Linked DNA regions of Callithrix jacchus. The protein of the gene in region 3 interacts with the protein of the main gene of each other region in a biochemical or structural test. Links are inferred from orthologs where the notes say so. Each region holds a gene or a part of one and is shown on either strand. Other genes may lie near its edges.

Region 1 (4,791 bases), on a different chromosome or scaffold from region 3:
GGTCTCAAACTTTTGGACTCAGCAATCCACCTGCCTCAGCCTCCTGAAGTGCTGGCGTTATAGGTGTAAGGCACCATGTCCTGTCTCAACTGACATTTTAGGGACTTAAGCCTAACTGTCTAAATGGTCTGATGCTTTGAGACATATTCAACCTAAATGGCTTCCATACCAGCCACTGGCTGGCATCTTCATTAGCTCCGAAACTCCAAAGGAAAGGGATCCCATGAAGTCATTCCTTGTTGTTCGATCCCAGTCCCAGATTTCTACAGACAGTCGCCGGTCTTTGTCTGAAGGTTTCAATTTGCTGCAAGACACACACACACACACGCAAACACCAGGTTATCTTGCTTGTGGTTTTATTGGGAGATAACACATGTACGTGACTTGAGACTGAGATAGAGAATTAGTATATTTAATTCTCTTACTGGTCCAGTAAAATACCAAACCTTATGCTGGCAACCAAAGCTCTACAGGAGGAGTTAATAAACTATGACCCATGGGCCAAATCTGGCCCAGTCTATTTCTATAAATAAAGATTTATTAGAATGCAGCCATGGCTATTTGTTTCCATATTGTCTATGGCTGCTTTGGCACTAGAAAGTTAGAGTTACAGAGGTGCAACAGAGACCGTATGACTCACAAAGCCTCAAATATATACTCTCTGGTCCTTCACAGAGCAGAACTTGCTGGTCCCTCTAGAATAGAGAGCTACCTTTCTGGCTGTCCACAGAAAAACTGCCTCCTGTTACTAGTCTACAAAGAGGACCTCTTGCTTTTGCTCAGCTGCCCTCAGTCCTCCTGACTTATTTATTTCCTTCTTCCCCTTCTACCGTCTCTACCTCTGAAACCCGGGCAGCCCTCCCAGGCTGACTTTAAATGTCACATTTTCCAGGAATTCTCTCTTTGAAGGCAAGAATGATCTTCCCGTTTCAGTGGCAATAACACTTTCTATGTCGCTCACTCATTCTGTGATCTAAAAATTATTTAAATTCTCGCCTTATGCCCTCCCCTAACTCTCAAAAGAACCTAAATCCATCAAGAGGTGGACATACCTGATACATTTATCCAGATTAGATAATAATAATTTGAGGCCTGAATTATGCAACTCTTGGTATCATAATTACCATCTATCCAACAGGTACTAATAGCTACCTCCCTAATGGCAGCCTGAGGAGATCTTAGGACTGAAGACATGTTTAAAGACATTTATAAGCAGCCTACTTCATCATCTCAAATAATGAGGTGGGCAACTGCATGGCGTATGGGAACGAAATTTTATCAAGGAGAGGGACCACTTACAAGGTAAAGGACTCATTCCACTGGGGATTTAGCGTGGAGCGGATGGTTTTGGTTTTTTGTTTGCTTTCGTTCTTGGGATCAGGAATGAGTTTCAGCTTCACATAAGGATCTGAAAGCCCGTTTGGGTCCATAGGGATTAGATTTTTTGCGTCTCGTACTGTGAAGAGAGAAGGAAGAAAAGATTACAAAAAGAGAACAAACCTATATTGCCCAGTGTCCTGTGTCAATACCAAGCTGAATAAAAGAGACGTCAGGATGGCGTTTAGGGAGAGAAAAGGTGGAAACAAAAGCCTCTAATGCTCGGCTTGAGAAAAGGTACCCGCTGCCATCACTGGCAGAGATAACGGGCATCATGTGGGCCCTTGTGGGCGCGTCTGGAGACTCAGCACCAGCCTCGACTGGCAGCATCAGCAACACTCAGATTATCTATTAGAAATGCAGAAACCCAGGTCCCACCCCAAACCTGACCAAGAAGAATCCACAATTTAACAAGATTCCCAGGTGACCTGTGCAGCTTCCCAGGAGTATGGTGCACCCTCCCTACACGGAAGCAGCCAGTCCGACCTAGTCTCTGGCGCTCACATGGAGCTGAGCTCTGGGAAGGTGTTACCCCATTTTGTGGGTAACGACCAATGGTTTCCAACCCTGGCTGTACATTGAAATCACATGGGGGTTGGGGAATGGGGGTGTTAAAAATTCTAAACCCCACAATTAAACTATAATTTCCAGGGAATGTGGCTCAAATATTGGTTTTTATTTGTTTGTTTTTGAGACAAAGTCTCGCTCTGTCGCCCAGGCTGGAGCACAGTGGTATGATCTTGGCTCATTGTAACCTCCGCCTCTTGGGTTCAAGTGATTCTCCTGCCTCAGCTTCCCGAGTAGCTGGGATTACAGGCCACCATACCGGGCTAATTTTTGTATTTTCAGTAGAGACAGGGTTTTACCATGTTGGTCAGGGTGGTCTTGAACTCCTGACCTTGTGATCCACCCGCCTTGGCCTCCCAAAGTGCTGGGATTACAGTCGTGAGCCACCCAGCCTGGCCAAGTATTTGTTTTTAAAAGCTCCTTGGGTGATTCTATTGGGCAGCAGGGGCAAGCTATACACAGCTATAATTCAGAATTGCTACGAGGTGCTGGTCCATGGACCCGCAGCATCTACATCACGTGGGAGCTCATTAGACACGCAGAACCGTGAGCCCTATCCTTGGACTTAATAACTCTGAATCCTCACTTTAACAAGACCTCCAGGTGCTTTCAATGCAATCCTAGTTTGAAAAACCTGATATGGGAATCAAAAATAATTAGAAAGAAAGGCCATTTCACCCAGAGGAAGGCAGGTCTGAGATTCAATGGCTGGCAGAGGCTCACAACAGTGAGAAGCTGTCTAAAGCCACTGCACATCAATGTAAAAGGTAATTTATCCACTGCTATGATGAATAGACAAAGCCTTCAGCCTCCTACCCCAAATGCCTTCCTCGTTATCTTCCAATGGCATCTTCCCCAGTAAGGCAGAATTATCAGATCCCTAACTGGTCAGACACCATCAGCACGCGTATAACTGGGACCAGGCTCCCCAGTCCAGTGGTTCCCACAGTGTGGTCCCTGGAACTGGTCCAGCGGAACTGGCATCACCTTCTGAATCAGAACTCTGGGGTGGAGTCCAATGAGCTATATTTACCAAGCCTCCAGGTGATTCTGATGTCCATAAAAGTCCAGAACCATGGATCTAGGCAAATAGCATAGTTTATCAGCATAGTTTGATTGTTAAACTAAGAATTAGAGAGGAATTTAGAAGCAAGCACTGGAGTTGGCAGTGGGCAGGGCTAGATGGGAAGGGGGCGGGGCAGGGGAGAACCCTAAAGATGTTGGGTCTTTGGACAAACATGTGGGAGGTACAGCCCTAGGATCAGAAGTCAGAAATAGGCACTGCCTTTACTAGTCTGTGGACCTACTGTGTGCTGTCTCCTGCCAGCCAACAGCCTTATGTCTTCCTTACCTGGCAACCTTACAGAGGTGGGTAACAGATGGGACTAAATTCAAATAGTCAGAGAAGGGGAGGGGACTGGCTCAGGTCTGCTAGCCACAGAGAAGCTGAACATATGTCTATCACACCCCACTGGTGCCTTCCAAGTATGTCTTCTCCTAAGAAAGTATCTGACCTCATTCATCTCGGGGAGCACATAAATAAAACAAACAGGCATGATCCCCGTGGCTCAGCAGGTGTCTCACCAGGTAACCCTGAGCACAGGGAAGCTGAGTCTCTGAGCCTCTGTTTCTTCATCTAGAAAAATGAAGAGGGGCATAATTCCAGTGGTACAGACTGTTGGGAAAATCAAAGAAAATAATGTTTATAAAAAACCTTACATTGTTGGGGTCTTAGAAAATGGAAAAAAAAAAAATCCATGATGTGAGTGCTCACTACAGCCCGGAAACAGCGTTTCAGACTTGTGTCCACTCTTATCATTCTGAAATCCAGAGGGTTGGAGGCCCCCAGGGAACCTGGGCACTCAAGAATTCACCAAGCTCCTGTGAAAGGTTTTAATCCAATGCAGAAGGTCTTGCCCCTAAAACATCAACCCTAAGTATCACAAAAGATGAAAAATGTGAGCATAAAAATGGAGCTCTCTCATGAGGAGTGGAAAGAGGCCAATGGTCTATCTCTGATTAAACACCAGAATGAGAATCAGCTGCTTTTTAAAGGTAGAAAATGCCCCAGAATGTCTAACACTGGAGGCTGCAGAAGGTCACATACAGGATAAGCCAATGAAGACCCTTATCAAGGCCACCAAGAGCTCCTGGGTTGCAGAATTATTGTGGGCATCTGCTTTTAAGTCTTCAATTTATATTCCTGACAACACACATACATACACACACACAATCATGGAAGTATGATCTCTTCTGAATGGTGATGAGTTAAAATCTTGATGGGATTTAAAGCTGTGAGCTTCCTACTGAGATACTATCATTTAAGTAGAAAATAAAAAGAGTTATCAATTCCAAATGTCATTGAGGCGGACAGTGGGTCCAAATTTCAATTTCTTATCGCAGCAGAGAACAGCCTGTGTGATGTGTGACTCATGGCATGCCAGGACACCTTAATCAGGATTATGAGCAACTAACTTGGGGGTCCCATCTGCTCGGAGTGTGGGATCTGGGGCAAGGCTGCCTGCATTTGAATTCTGGCTCTGCCACTCTGTAGTTGTGGGCAAGTTATTTTATCTCCCAAGTTTCCTCATCTCAAAACTTGTATCTCCTTCGTCAGGATTATGTAGGCTCATACATATTAAGTGCTTAGAACAGTGATTGGCACATGGTGAGAGCATGATAGTGATGATCCTAATTGTTCTTAATACAAGTCACTGGTGGAGAAGAAAATCAACAAGGCTTAGATGTCCAGAAACTGCATCGACAGCATCTGCAAATGCCGAGGAGAACAGTACAATGTGGCAATCTGCGAACAGGGCCTGCAACTGCATGGTTTCAAGAATGTCT
Region 2 (4,791 bases), on a different chromosome or scaffold from region 3:
TAGCTGGGTAGTGGGGACATGGGTCAGGCCTGCAGCGGGGGGCTGGGTTTCCTCAGGAGTAGGGGCATGGGTCAGGCCTGCAGCAGGGGGCTGGGTTTAGCTGGGTAGTGGGGACATGGGTCAGGCCTGCAGCAGGGGGCTGGGTTTAGCTGGGTAGTGGGGACATGGGTCAGGCCTGCAACAGGGGGCTGGGTTTAGCTGGGTAGTGGGGACATGGGTCAGGCCTGCAGCAGGGGGCTGGGTTTCCCTGGGAGTGGGGACATGGGTCAGGCCTGCAGCAGGGGGCTGGGTTTCCTCAGGAGTAGGGACATGGGTCAAGCCTGCAGCAGGGGGCTGGGTTCAGCTGGGTAGTGGGGGCATAGGTCAGGCCTGCAGCGCTTCTGGGATGCGCTTGTCTTCTGCCTTCAGGAGGTGCAAGAGAAACAGTGCTCCTAGTCCAGGTTTCTTGTCTATAAAGTGGGCCGCAGTTTTTGGCAGGAGATACTTACTTTTGAACTGGAAGTGTTTTCTTGTCAGGTCCCCCATCCCTAGGAAAATGAGCTCAAGGGGGCTGAAACCCTCCCAGTGTGAGCCAGCCCCGAGAGGCAGGGGCAGGGCTGAGGCGGCTGTGGTGCCCTCCGCATCTGCAGGGCCTCTCCTCCCATGGATGCAGATGCACACTCCTCTGCAGTGTGGGTAGGACCCTCGGAGTGAGCTGCACAGCCCAGAGTGCTGTTACGGCATTATTTGAAGTACAGTTCTTAGCCTGTTTCCGGATCTTGGCTGAGTGTTTGGATTTTCAGTTCGTTCTTTAACGTTGACCTTTGAGCCAGCCCTGAGCCTGGGGGTTGGATCTTGAAGGCCGTGAGCTCGGGAGAGCCCTTGCTTTCCGGAAAGTGTTTGCTTCTGCACCTGCTCATGTAACTCTAACCCTACTGTGTTTTCTCTCTCGGTTGTTTTCCCCACTGTTGCTTGTGGATTTTCAGATTATAAGACTGGTTTTGGAGGCAAATTCGGTGTTCAGTCGGAGAGGCAGGACTCCGCTGCCGTGGGGTTTGATTACAAGGAGAAGCTGGCCAAGCACGAGTCCCAGCAAGGCACAGTTGCCACTAGCCTCCTACCTTCCCCCCCTCCGTGCAGCCACTTCTAGCACAGACTTCAGGGCTCACCGTCAGCACCTGCAGCATGGCCCTCCTCTGTCACCAGCTGTCCACTGTCAGGCCACTGGGCACTGACACCCACGTCTGTTAGAGCCACACTGATGTTGAGCTGCTCTTCGCCTTCTTCCCTGTGAGCCTGCGATCTGTGCATGGCAGGAAGCGCCAGTTAGTGAGTGGGTGCTGTCTCTCTAACCCTGTGACTCACCCAGTCTGTGGACGGGCATCTCCGCTCTTCAGCGGCATCCTGCCAGAGGCTGTTGTGCCATTAACGTGACTGCTGTGAGCCATTGAGTCAGGCCTTCCTGCCTTCCAGATGACAAGAGAGGTGTTTGCTCCAGCCAAGCCACTGGCCATTTGAGCAGGGGCTTCATAGCAGTGAGGCCCAGGAGACAGGCGTGTCCCGTGTGGTCTGTGTCATTTGTGGTGTTTTTGGCCGGGGTGGGAGGTTTTTTGTTTGTCCCGTTTGATGACACCGTGTGTGTGACATCTCCACACAGAGCCACACAGTGTGTGCGTGACGCCAGCTCCACACCCTTCCTTAGGGCAGTATCTTTGTTACCTTCAGAATCTGGACTTGCTTCTTAGAGCCTGAACATATAATTGGAAAAACAGTCATTCCCTAACCCTGCAGGGCAGATCCTAGGCTTCCCACCTGCGGCATTAGAAACGCACAGCAGTGTTGAGGCCGGGGCAGGTAAACACCCGGGTGGTCCCACAGACTGCATGGAGGTGGCGGTGGCTCTCCGTGGCCTCACTCTGCATGACGGTGTGACTTTCATGTGGATCTGTGTTGCTGCAACAGAAGTGTTTGGCTGGTAGAGTTTCCACATGGATTTTTTTTTTCTTTTAAAAAGCAAGAGAACAAACTGCGATTGAGCCTCTTTTTAGCGCTCAGTAGAGCAGGAGCACAGGAAGCAGATGAGAATAAGCCCGTGCTGGTGCGGAAGACTGTGCTATTGAAGTGGCGCGCTGCGAAGGCCTGTCCCTGTCCCTGTCCCTGTCCCTGCCCTCTGTCCTCGGCTTAGCTCCCTCAGCCCGCCGCCCCTCCCGCCCCTCCTGCCCCTCAGGGAATGCTGAAGCCTGCCCCTGGCCTGTGCTCGGCTTCCCCTGCCTGTGGCGCACGACCTTGGGTGGAAGCAAAGCTTGCCTTGCTTGCTTGTTGTCGTTTCTCCTGCCGTGGCGCACCTTCCTGGGCTGTCTCTGGATCTGTCTGCATGCACCCATGGTCGGCCCCACGCTCGCCTCCACCTCACAGTGAGTGTTGTGTTTTGTCACGTTTCAGACTACTCCAAAGGATTCGGCGGGAAGTATGGGGTACAGAAGGATCGGATGGATAAGGTAAATATTCAGACCCGGAGCTTGGTGTCTTCTGGGTGGGCGTGGCTCACAGTGCTGGCCGCCATCTGCACACGTGATTTCCGTCATGGTGGCGGCAGCGGTGGCAGCAGCGATGACTGACTCCAACAGTCCTGTGCTCCTCATGGCCACGCTGTGGGATCGGATTGGCACTGGCCCACCTCCTAGCTGGGGGCCGCAGGCCAGGCAGGCTCAGCACCTGCTGCGGCACAGCAGTGGACAGCTGGGCTGCCACGGGAACCCAGGTGTTCAACATGAGCAGTGAGGGCCTCGAGGGCTCACATCCATTTGAACTTAAATTCTTTTTTTTTTTGAGACTGAGTTTCGCTGTTGTTACCCAGGCTGGAGTGCAATGGCACGATCTCAGCTCACCACAACCTCCGCCTTCTGGGTTCAAGCAATTCTCCTGCCTCAGCCTCCCGAGTAGCTGGGACTATGGGCGCGCACCACCATGCCCAGCTAATTTTTTTTGTATTTTTAGTAGAGACGGGGTTTCACCTTGTTGACCAGGATGGTCTCGATCTCTTGACCTCGTGATCCACCCGCCTCAGTCTCCCAAAGTGCTGGGATTATAGGCGTGAGCCACCGCGCTCGCCCTAAACTTAAATTCTTAACAGTAAATCAGATTGGAGCCTGAGTGTGTCAGACTGCGTGTGGGGCTGCCCCCTGGCAGCCGGTGCTGCCTGTGTGACGATGCCTTGTCTCCTGTCTTCGGCATCACGGAGACTCAGACTCCACACTTCCTGCTCCTGTGCATGGCTGGCGGTCACAGGTGGTAGGGTCAGTCCTTGCCTTGCAGTTGACCACACACAGTGCCATCCAGGGACTCCTAATGTGGGCAGGCAGAGCAGGTGTTTGGGCTGGGGTCCCCAGGGAGCAGTCGCTGGGGCTCATTTTTGAGGGCAGCTGGGAATTCATCAGGAGCAAAAGCTCAGGAGACCACAGAAGGGCGAGGTGTGGGCCCCGTGGGACTGGAGTCACAGCAGGTTCTCCAGGAGCCGAGCTACAGAGGGAGGGCAGGGAGGAGGGCTAGAGCCAGCCCTGGAGAGCGTCAAATGCCGTAGAGCATTCTGTACGTCATTATGTGACATGCTGGACCCTGAAAAGTTTAGCAGGCAAGGGACAGTGCGGGGATCTGCTTTGGGTGGATGTGGGGTGGACGTGGGGCCGACTGTGGAGCTGGAGAACTGGGAGGAGCAGATGTGGGTGTCAGCGAGAGACAGCTTGGGTGGGGCCAGGGCTGGGCCCACTCTTCGGGCAGAGTGGGGAGGGGGAGTAGGCATGCAGTTAGGACATGGGCAGGGGACCCAGAGGTGGCAGGGCCTTGAAAGGCGCTGGGACGGGTGGAGGGAATGAGCTCCCATATGGGTGGGCCACAGGTTGTAGATTCGAGGCTGGAACCCAAGGGGCTGCCTGTGCTGTGGGTGTCTGTGGTCAGCATTGATGGTTTGGCGGTGGCAGCTTGTGAGCACATGGGGAGGCAGCGTGGGGGTGCTGCCTTTGGGGCTCTTGTGTTTAATCCGGGAGGGGTTGGTGCTTCTCTCTCGGTTTGCTGTGCAGTTGAGCCCCAGGCTTAGAGAGGGTGACATAACTGCCCAGGTCCCACTATATCGTGGCATCGGGGCTACAACCCAGGCTGTGAGGTGAGGTCGTCCCCTGAGGGTGAGGCAATGTCTCCAGTGGTTCTGGTGGGTGATGGGGCCCAGTAAGGCCGATGGCCTTGCCTTTGAACAGGTATGAGTGGCTTAGGAGATGCGGAGTGGATCCTGGAGCTGACCGACAGGAGGAGGGAGCTGGGTCCGAGGAAGGAGGGCGGGCCAGGAACGGGCTAGCAGGAGTGCTGGGCAGAAGGGGGCCGTGGGGTGGGGGCTCTGGTGGCTTCTGAGCCTCAGGGGTTCTCATCAGAGGTGGTGAAACCTGCAGTGAACCTGGGCGCGGCCGCTGGTCTCCACAAGCCCTGCCATCTGCGCCCAGTTCAGCACTTCAGAGTCATCGCCATCGTTTGCTCAAACCAGAGTTGCGTCCCCTACAAAGCAGGAAGGTGTGATTGCACCACTGGGAGGTGTGGAGGACGGGCCCCGAGGCTTGCGTGTGTCCCCGGCGTCTTCTTCCTGTAAATGCTCACACCTCTGGGTGGCGAGGGAGGGTGGGAAAGGCTTGAAGCGGATCCCAGAATTGGTTTATGATAGAGCAGATGGAGATAATTTCTTATGCTAATGCTGACTCATGATCGCCTGCAAATGTGGTTGGTAATATTTTTCATGCCTCAGATAGTGTGCAAAACCGAGAGGCCATG
Region 3 (4,791 bases):
CACAGTGGCTCACGCCTGTAATCCCAGCACTTTGGAAGGCCGAGGCAGGTGGATCACCTGAGGTCAGGAATTCAAGACCAGCATGACCAACATGGAGAAACCCATCTCTACTAAAAATACAAAAATTAGCCAGGCGTGGTGGTGCATGCCTGTAATCCCAGCTACTCAGGAGGCTGAAGCAGGAGAATCGCTTGAACCCGGGAGGCGGAGGTTGCAGTTGAGCTGAGATCATGCCATTGCACTCCAGCCTGGGCAATAAGAGCGAAACTACATCTCAAACAAACACACACCAGGATCCAGGGTCCCACCCTAGCATTTCTGGCCTATAGAAGCTGTCTCGACAGAACCCAGGTCCAAGCTCCCGATGCATACTCCAGAAGACCCAGAACTCAGCCCCCAGCATTAGCTGCCCGAGGTCTAGGTCCAGTTCCCTAGCAATGACCCAAAAGAGCCCAAGGTCCAGTTCCCTAGCAATGACCCAAAAGAGCCCAAGGTCCAGCCCCAAGCACTTGCTCGGGTCTACGAGACAGCCCTTGGGACCCCAGGATCATACTTTTCTCCTTAACTGACAGGACCCAGTGTCCTGCCACTCCACACTAAATATCTCTGCAGACCCCAGGGGTCTAGCCCAGCCCTCTTCCACGGGGTGAGTATCCTAGGTTACTGAGCTTCTGCCTCCTTCCTACCCAGGATCCTGATCGTGGATTGGGATGTCCACCATGGTAATGGAACTCAGCACATGTTTGAGGATGACCCCAGGTAAGATGCTGCAGTCAGGGGCTGTGGTGTGGTCAGGGAGATGGGTGAGCACCTCAGGGGTATTGGAGCCCCTAACCAGCTATGGCCCCCTTCCCACCCCCTCCCCGGCAGTGTACTCTATGTGTCCCTGCACCGCTACGATCATGGCACCTTCTTCCCCATGGGAGATGAGGGTGCCAGCAGCCAGATCGGCCGGGCTGCAGGCACAGGCTTCACCGTCAACGTGGCATGGAATGGGCCCCGCATAGGTGATGCTGACTACCTAGCTGCCTGGCATCGCCTGGTGCTTCCTATTGCCTACGAGGTAAAGCTCAGTGTAGATCTCAGGATGTATGTGATACACCTGTGCAGGTGGCAGCCTGGGCCTGCCTCCTCAGCATGTGTGCGTTTGACTGCCAGGTGGCGGATCATATGAGACAGCCCAAGGGTGACTAATGAGGCTACTGGGGCAGTTGATGACTGTGATTACCTTGTGTGTTTGACCACACAGGTGGCTGTACAGGACTGCCTTCTCTGTGTGACACTGTGTGAGTGACTGTCTTGCCTGTGTGTGTGAGGGCCTTCTGGCTATGCAGCAGTGGCCTGTGTCCTGGCTGGATCTGTGTTGTATATGTGTGCTATCACAAGTTCTTTAGTATGTGTGTGCAATTCTGTGCAAGTGGGTATTTCTCACCACCTTTTCTCTGTGCGATGGATGTGATATTGTATGTCACTAAATGCAGCCATCTCTATGACAGCCTGTATGGGACCCTCTGGATGTGGAGGGCTGTGTGTGACAGCAGTCACTGTCTGACTGTCTGCCCTGGCTGTTTGTGTATGTGTCTCTGACTGGGAGGTAGCTGCCTTCCCTCTGTGTGAGCTGTGGGGCGGGGGGGTCAGTGGCTTGTGTATGGCTGACCCTGGGAGGGAGGGGAAGGAGGTGTGAGCACTGCTCTGTCACCCTGGGTGCCAGTGTGCATCTTTGGATCTGCACGTGCATCTGACTATGCATGGGTGGCCAGGACAGCCTTCTGTGTGTATACAACTGTATGTGCAAGTGACCAGCTCTTGTGGACACACCAGAGTGCATGTGGCTGTTGTGGCTGTGTGGTGATGGCATGTGTATGATTGTGACTGCAGGATGGCTGTGGGTTATTGTCCTTTTTAAGAAACTATGTATGTATGTGTGCGCATGACTAGTGCAGATATGTAGTACTGTTCTATATGGGACTGTCTGTGTGGGATTACACGTGGCTTTGTGTGACCATCTTCTCTGTGTGTGGTGCTTGCGTTGCCATCTTCTGTTATGGAAGTGTGTGAGCACCCCTCTTTGGCACTATGTACATAAAACCCTGTATCTTGTGTATGTGTGTCCCACGTTTGACCCTGGGGTGTGTGTGTGAGGACATGTCTCTGTCTCTCCATTTCTCATGTCAGTCTCTTGACATCTGAGTCTGGTCTCATGACTCTGTCTCATGTCCCCATCTGTCCATTTTTGCTGTCTCCATGTTTCTAGATCTGCATCTGTTTCTTCTATCTCTGAGTCTATATTTCTCTTCTTCCTCTCTTCATTTTCAGTCTCTGCTTTTGCATCTCCCAGTCTTCAGGCCCCGTGTCTCCATCTCTCTGATTTGCATCTCCATGTCTTCATTTGTCCTTTTCTCCATCCATGTCTCCTTGTCACCACCACTTACTGCCTACCAAAAGCCCTTACCCTCATGCTTATACGTCTCTTCTCTCCCTGCCTCAGTTTAATCCAGAACTGGTGCTGGTCTCAGCTGGCTTTGACGCTGCACGGGGGGACCCGCTGGGGGGCTGCCAGATATCACCTGAGGGTTATGCCCACCTCACCCACCTGCTGATGGGCCTTGCCAGTGGCCGCATTATCCTTATCCTAGAGGTAACTCTCTCTTGGTAACCTTTTCCCACAGTGGGAGGGTAGTTTGGGAATCTTGGCACTATCATTCAGTATAGTTTCCTAAAATCTCCTTTAAGTGTCCCTGCCTGGAATTGTGGGCACACACTGGGTAGTAATTGGGTAATAATAATAAGAATAACAGCAACATTAACAGCTTTGAGTGCTCACTGTGTGCAAAGCACTCTTCTGAGCACTTCATGTATCTTATTCATTTAGTTACTTGGCAAAGCAGCCTTATGAGGTAGGGTTAGCTTTTCCCCTCTCAAGATCAGGGAAACTGAGGCACAAAGAGGCGTGATGACTAGATGACTGAAAGAAATGTGCCTGAGATGGCACATTTACTGATGGCAGAACCAGGACTTGAACCGATGCAGCGTGGCTCCAGGGTTTGTGTTTTTTACTGTTACCTGAACTGACTCTAACAAGTTCCTGGGACAAAGAAAATTCACTGACCTTTGTAAGTGACTCGGTATCCCCATGCCCTGTGCCTCAGTTTCCTCATCTTTATGAGGCTGGCTAATCATGGAGGAGTGCCTGGCATATAGTAAATGCTGGATCTGGTAGATCTGTTTTTTTTTTTTTAATTGAGACAGAGTCTCGCTCTGTCACCCAGGCTGGAGTGCAATGGCGCAATCTGAACTTACTGCAGCCTCCACCTTCCAGGTTCAAATGATCCTCCCACCTCAGCCTCCTGAGTAGCTGGGATTACAGATACCCATCACCACGCCTGGCTGATTTTTGTATTTTTAGTAGAGATGGGGTTTCACCATGTTGGCCAGTCTGGTCTTGAGCTCCTGGCCTCAAGAAATCCACCCACCTCAGCCTCACGGAGTGCTAGAATTACAAGTGTGAGCCACCACACCTAGCCCCTGGTTACTGTTATGCATTGTTCAGATACTAACCCGCTCAGCAACCTTCTGTGCTGTTATTTTCACTACTTTACAGATGAGGAAAATAAATCACAGAGAAATTAAGTGGCTTGCAAAAAGTCCCACTTACCATGTGCCCAGTACTGTTTGTGACAGGGCATGGTGGGAGTTAAAAACACAGATGACTCCATCAGAGAGCCAAAGTTCAAATCCCAGTGCTGCCTCTACAGCTGTTAGGACCTCAGAAAAGTCATCTAACCACTCCGAGCCTCAGTTTTATTTATTTATTTATTTTTTTGAGATGGAGTCTCGCTCTGTCACCCAGGCTGCAGTGCAGTAGTGCAATGTCAGCTCACTGCAACCTCCACCTCCCTGGTTCAAGCAACTCCCCTGCCTCAGCCTCCGGAGTAGCTGGGATTACAGGTGCACACCACCACGCCCGGCTAAGTTTTTTGTATTTTCAGTAGAGACAGGGTTTCACCATGTTGGCCAGGCTGGTCTCGAACTCCTGACCTTAGGCAATCTGCCCTCCTCAGCCTCCCAAAGTGCTGGGATTACAGGCGTAAGCCACTGCGCCCAGCCTTTTGCCTCAGTTTGTCTGTAAAAAGAATAGCAACTGGGATTCCTGTAGAGTGTAAAGAAAGTCAGAACAGGAGTCCATATGGAGAGAGAGTCCGTTGTTCCTGTACTAGATCAGGGCAGGGGCTTTTGTATGGGTTCACAGCAGGCGTCTCATGCAGGTCAGATCAGTGATTACTGTATGATGTGAGGCCAGGGGTTCCTGGACAGTGTCAAGACGGATTTCTGTATGGCATGAAGGCAAGTTCTGGTATAGACTGAGCACCTGTGGTTATGAGGATTGAGTTAATATGCATGAAGTACTTAAAACTGGGTCTGGCACAGAGCAAACACTTAATAAATAATGTCAGCTATTACTAATGGTTTTATCAGTATTGTTATCTTGCACTTTACATCGCAATTTACTCCCCACAACAACCACTTTACACAATGGGTGCCGCCCATCTTACAGGTGTGGGTTCTGCTCACTTGTTCCCAATACTCCCCCGTCCCTCTCCAGACTTGCAGGGCTCAGTTGGGAGGATTGGGGAGGCAAGACATGTTGCTTTCCAGATTCCCCGATGAACCCCTACCATGCCTTTCCCTTCCCTTTTCCTTAACAAAGGGTGGCTATAACCTGACATCCATCTCAGAGTCCATGGCTGCCTGTACTCGCTCCCTCCTTGGAGACCCGCCACCCCTGCTGAC
Region 4 (4,502 bases), on a different chromosome or scaffold from region 3:
GCCCTCCAGGCCTCTGCCTTCTGCCTGGTGTTGGATCTAGCTTGGGGTGGTGGCCTGGCACAGGCAGCAGGACCCTGTTGAGGCTGTCCCGGGAGCCCATCACTTCCTCCTTTCTCCCAGGGCTATACCAAGTCCATCGACATCTGGTCTGTGGGCTGCATTCTGGCTGAGATGCTCTCCAACCGGCCCATCTTCCCTGGCAAGCACTACCTGGATCAGCTCAACCACATTCTGGGTGAGGGAGTCCCGGCTGACTGAGTGGGGGATAATTAGCTTTTCCTAGGTGAGATTTCTTGAGAGTCCGAGTCAGGGATATCATCATCATGTACGGGGTGCCTCCAGCATCTCCTAGACCTCAACGAGGTATAGATATTATCCCCACTGGAAAGATGGGAAAAGCAAGGCTAAGTCCTACACCTAAGGAGGCACCACACCTAGGATTTGAGCCTCAGTCTGCCTGAATCCAGCCCCTTGCTCTGCTGGGAGAGCAGACTAGGAGGTGACTAAGAGTTTGGCATGGGTTGCTAGGCTGGGGGGTCTTGTTCTTGCCCTCTTGCCTGTTCTGTTCCCAGAAAGGAGGAGGTGATCATTTACCAAGTCACCTCCTTATCCACAGGCATCCTGGGCTCCCCATCCCAGGAGGACCTGAATTGTATCATCAACATGAAGGCCCGAAACTACCTACAGTCTCTGCCCTCCAAGACCAAGGTGGCCTGGGCCAAGCTTTTCCCCAAGTCGGACTCCAAAGGTATGAGAGACGTGGGGACGGGTGTGGCATAAACCCTGGGAGCTGTGGAGGGTGCGTGAGTCCAGCAGCCACCGGAGGAGACGGGCCCTGGGCATGGGGAAGCAAAGCGATGCTCCTGGGAGCTCCTCCAGCCTTCCCTGTGACCCCTGACTCCTGCCCTTCCATAGCCCTTGACCTGCTGGACCGGATGTTAACCTTTAACCCCAACAAACGGATCACAGTGGAGGAAGCGCTGGCCCACCCCTACCTGGAGCAGTACTATGACCCAACGGATGAGGTGGGCCAGTGCCTAGCAGCAGCGGGGCTGGGGGCAGGGGATCAAGTCGGCATTCCCCACACCGGGCCTGAGCCTTACCGTCTCTGCCACCCCAGCCAGTGGCCGAGGAGCCCTTCACCTTCGACATGGAGCTGGATGACCTACCCAAGGAGCGGCTGAAGGAGCTCATCTTCCAAGAGACAGCACGCTTCCAGCCTGGGGCGCTGGAGGCCCCCTAACCTAGACAGATATCCTGTGCCCTGGGGCCTGGTGAGTGTCCCCATGGCCCGCACACAGACACACTGATACTAAATATAGATCTCTATCTCTATATCCACACCTACAGCTATCTCTGTCTCTATCTACCTCTCTCTCTATCTCTATCTAAGCTGCAAGCTTGCCCCGCACCCATGGTCCATGTGGCTGGTGACATCAGAGGTGCCCAGGGAGCTGGGCATGGTGGCTCATGCCTGGAATCCCAGCACTTTGGGAGACAGACTTAGACCAGTAGGTCACCAGAGGTCAGAAGTTCAAGACCAGCGTGGCCAACATGGTGAAACTACTAAAAATACAAAAATTACACACCAAAAACATATAAAAACTACTCAAAATACAAAAATAAGCCGGGCATGGTGGCGCACACCTATAAGACCCAGCCACTCAGGAGGCTGTGGTGGGAGGATTTCTTGAACCTGGAAGGTGGAGGTTGCACCACTGCACTCCAGCCTGGGCAACAGTGAGACTCTGCCTCAATAAAAGAAAAAAATGCCCAAGGACTACCCAGACTCGTGGCCCACCCAGTCCTCCAACCCCAAATGTCTCCACCTGTCAACACCCTGCATCCTCCAGCCCCAGGAGCCATTCTAATCTTCTGGGAACAGAACTAGCAAAGAGGCAAGAGGTTACAGAGGGCCCCTGTCACCCAGGTAAGGACCTGAGCCAGGCCTCAGCTCTGGGTGTGGCAGAAGCAGGTGGAGCCATGATCGCTTTGGGAGGGGCCCAGCATCACCCAGCCTGACCCAGATGGCGAGGCCTCCTCACACCTGCTGCCAGGTTAGCAGTTCACATAGCTGTGGGACCCCACTGGGCCTGCCCCCACCCACACTGCCTCCTCCAGTCTCTTCCTGTCTCTGGCCAGGTGTGGCCTGATAGGAAGAAGGCAGCACACCTGGGCTCAAACTGCAGCTGTGCCACTTAGTAAGTGCTGTGTGGTATTAGACAAGGCACCTCGCCTCTCTGTGCCTCAGTTCCCTGGAAACAGTTTTATTTATCTTGTTTTGTTTTTGTTTTTTTTGAGACAGTATCTCACTCTGTTGCCCAGGCTGGAATGCAGTGGCACAATCATAGCTCACTGCAGCCTCAAATTCCTGGGCGCAAGGGATCCTCCCAGGTAGCTGGACGAGCCTTTGCAACTGGCTAATTTTTTTTTTTTTTTTTTTTAAGAGTTGGGGTCTTACTATTTGCCCAAGCCAGTCTCCAACTCCTGGGCTCAAGTGACCCACCCGCCTCAGCTTCTCAAAGTGCTGGGATTACAGGCATGAGCCACCACACCCGGCCGAGACAGTTCTAATAATGAACGCATAAAACCCTAAGCATTGTTCTAAGAGGTTCGCATGTATTAATCCTTTTAATCTTACAGCAGTACCTTGAGCTAGGTACTATGATTATCTCCATTTACAGATAAGGAAACTGAGCTCCAGCCTGCCCAGCTGTGAGGGTGATGGGCTGCACCGGGTCTGCCCGAGGGTGCTGATGACTCCTCTCCTGCCTGCTTCCCTCTTTAGGAGCTGCCTTCCTCCTGCCCCTCTCCTGCCGGACTGTTAGAAAATGGACACTGTGCCCAGCTCAGACCTTGGCAGCCCAGCCGGGGTGGAACATGGGCCTGGCCACCTCTCTCCTTTGCTCAGGCCTCCAGCTTCAGGCAGGTCAAGGCCTCCTCCTCTCTGCCTGTCCTCTCCACAGGGCATCGGAGGCTCAGGTGGCCCCAGTTCAGTTTCCCGCTGCTGCTGCTGTGCCCTTCCCCAGCGTCCCAGTCTCTGCAGTTCTGGAATGGAAGGGCTCTGGCTGCCCAACCTGCTGAGGGGCGGGGGTGGAGGGTGGGGGGCATTGAGTAGGACTCAGGGCCAGGCCTTCCTCCTCATCTCATTCAACCCCCTCCCTAGTTTCCCTGAAGGAACATTCCTTAGTCTCAAGGGCTAGCATCCCCGAGGAGCCGGGCCAAGCTGAATCCCCTTCCTGTCAAAGCTGCCACTTTGAGCGCCCTCACTGCTTCTGTGTGTGGTGATCGGAGTGGAGCTGGGGGGCGTGGAGAGCCCGGCACCCCCACCACCTCCTTGGCCCGTCTAATATATAAATATAGAGATGTGTCTATGGCTGACCCTAGCTCTGTCTGTGTTTGCGACGCCCTGCCCTGCCCCGTGCGGCTCTGAAGACGGACTCCAGCACCCCAGCTGCTGCTTGCTCAGGCTTTCCAGAGCCTGGTGCCCTTCACTCACACTGCCCAGGGCTGGGGATGGGCCTCTGAGGAGCTCCAGACTCCTAGAAAGAAGGGGATCAATTTTCCCCTTAGTCACTGTCCTGTCCCCTTGCTAATGGCTTCCTGTCTAACTGGCTGGGGGTGATTCGGGGTGACTCAGGGGCACCCTACATACCCCTGGATCCTCTGAAATGGCAAGGGAACAGAACTGGCATGTTGGATGCCCTGGCCACCAAGCGCCAGTGGGAGGGAGAGGTGCTAACAGTCCTGGGTGGTTTTTATTCCCCTTGTGTGGCCAGGACAGGGTGGGTGCTGGGGTCTGGGAAGGGCCCAGGGATATGAGGGTCAGGGCTGCTTGCCTCATCTCCTGATACTACCCTGGCTTCAGCCAAACCCTGCAGTCTGGCTCCAAGCCAGCCCAGCGGCAGGCTCAGCAGGTCCCAGGGGCGTGGCGGTGGCCAGTAGTAGAGCTGGCCCACACCGGCTAGGCAGGCAGCAGAGTCCCTGGACGGCTGAGCGTGCGGCTGTGGGAGCTTCTGCAGGAGTGCAGTCATGAGCCTTTTCCTGTACTGTGCCCTCCCTGCCCTGGGCAGTTATGCCATGCTCTCCAGCTTCTTCCTGCGCCGGCCTCACCTGCTGCACACACCCCGGGCTCCCAACTTCCGCATCCGCCTGGGAGCCCACCGAGGAGGTGAGCTGGGTGGGGGTGAGAACAGGCGCCAAAGTGGACAGCAGAGAGAGGTAGGTCCAAGGGGTGGATGCTAGAAACAGGGCAGAGACCAAGAGGAGGAGAGCGAGGTGGCAGGGCAGGGCGTGGACAAGGAAGAAGAGGCTGGCACAGCCTGGGCTGGCTGGGGAGGTGAGGCCAGAGCAAGGACAGAGCCCAGAGAAGGAATGTGGGTAATGAGGTCAGGCCAGGCCTCTAGACCCCAAGCCCCAGGGGCCCACTCCAGTGCCCCCCACAGGATCTGGAGAGCTGCTGGAGAACACCATGGAGGCCATGGAGAAGTGAGTGTATCTGC

Evidence for each region. The genes of interacting proteins can lie anywhere in the genome.
Region 1: the proteins of HDAC6 (region 3) and PRKCA form a complex in vitro, tested with the Homo sapiens proteins (2 studies listed by BioGRID, with this or other methods). The link is inferred for Callithrix jacchus from reciprocal best matches to the Homo sapiens genes HDAC6 and PRKCA.
Region 2: the proteins of HDAC6 (region 3) and CTTN form a complex in vitro, tested with the Homo sapiens proteins (3 studies listed by BioGRID and IntAct, with this or other methods). The link is inferred for Callithrix jacchus from reciprocal best matches to the Homo sapiens genes HDAC6 and CTTN.
Region 4: the proteins of HDAC6 (region 3) and MAPK3 form a complex in vitro, tested with the Homo sapiens proteins (2 studies listed by BioGRID, with this or other methods). The link is inferred for Callithrix jacchus from reciprocal best matches to the Homo sapiens genes HDAC6 and MAPK3.

Annotation. Positions count from the first base shown.
Region 1 is NC_133506.1:122,598,881-122,603,671, forward strand, and holds part of PRKCA (protein kinase C alpha type), read right to left. Parts: intron 1,457-4,791; coding exon 1,300-1,456; intron 305-1,299; coding exon 170-304; intron 1-169. UniProt on the Homo sapiens protein: Calcium-activated, phospholipid- and diacylglycerol (DAG)-dependent serine/threonine-protein kinase that is involved in positive and negative regulation of cell proliferation, apoptosis, differentiation, migration and adhesion, tumorigenesis, cardiac hypertrophy, angiogenesis, platelet function and inflammation, by directly phosphorylating targets such as RAF1, BCL2, CSPG4, TNNT2/CTNT, or activating signaling cascade involving MAPK1/3 (ERK1/2) and RAP1GAP.
Region 2 is NC_133511.1:127,376,528-127,381,318, forward strand, and holds part of CTTN (src substrate cortactin), read left to right. Parts: intron 1-965; coding exon 966-1,076; intron 1,077-1,770; coding exon of another isoform or gene 1,771-1,833; intron 1,834-2,421; coding exon 2,422-2,477; intron 2,478-4,791.
Region 3 is NC_133524.1:49,398,493-49,403,283, forward strand, and holds part of HDAC6 (protein deacetylase HDAC6), read left to right. Parts: intron 1-690; coding exon 691-759; intron 760-870; coding exon 871-1,063; intron 1,064-2,488; coding exon 2,489-2,638; intron 2,639-4,708; coding exon 4,709-4,791.
Region 4 is NC_133513.1:29,412,439-29,416,940, forward strand, and holds the end of MAPK3 (mitogen-activated protein kinase 3), read left to right. Parts: intron 1-120; coding exon 121-235; intron 236-616; coding exon 617-748; intron 749-915; coding exon 916-1,025; intron 1,026-1,120; coding exon 1,121-1,243; 3' UTR 1,244-1,274; intron 1,275-2,684; 3' UTR 2,685-3,381; downstream 3,382-4,502. Other genes in the region: lysophospholipase D GDPD3, read left to right, coding at 4,033-4,171, 4,446-4,488.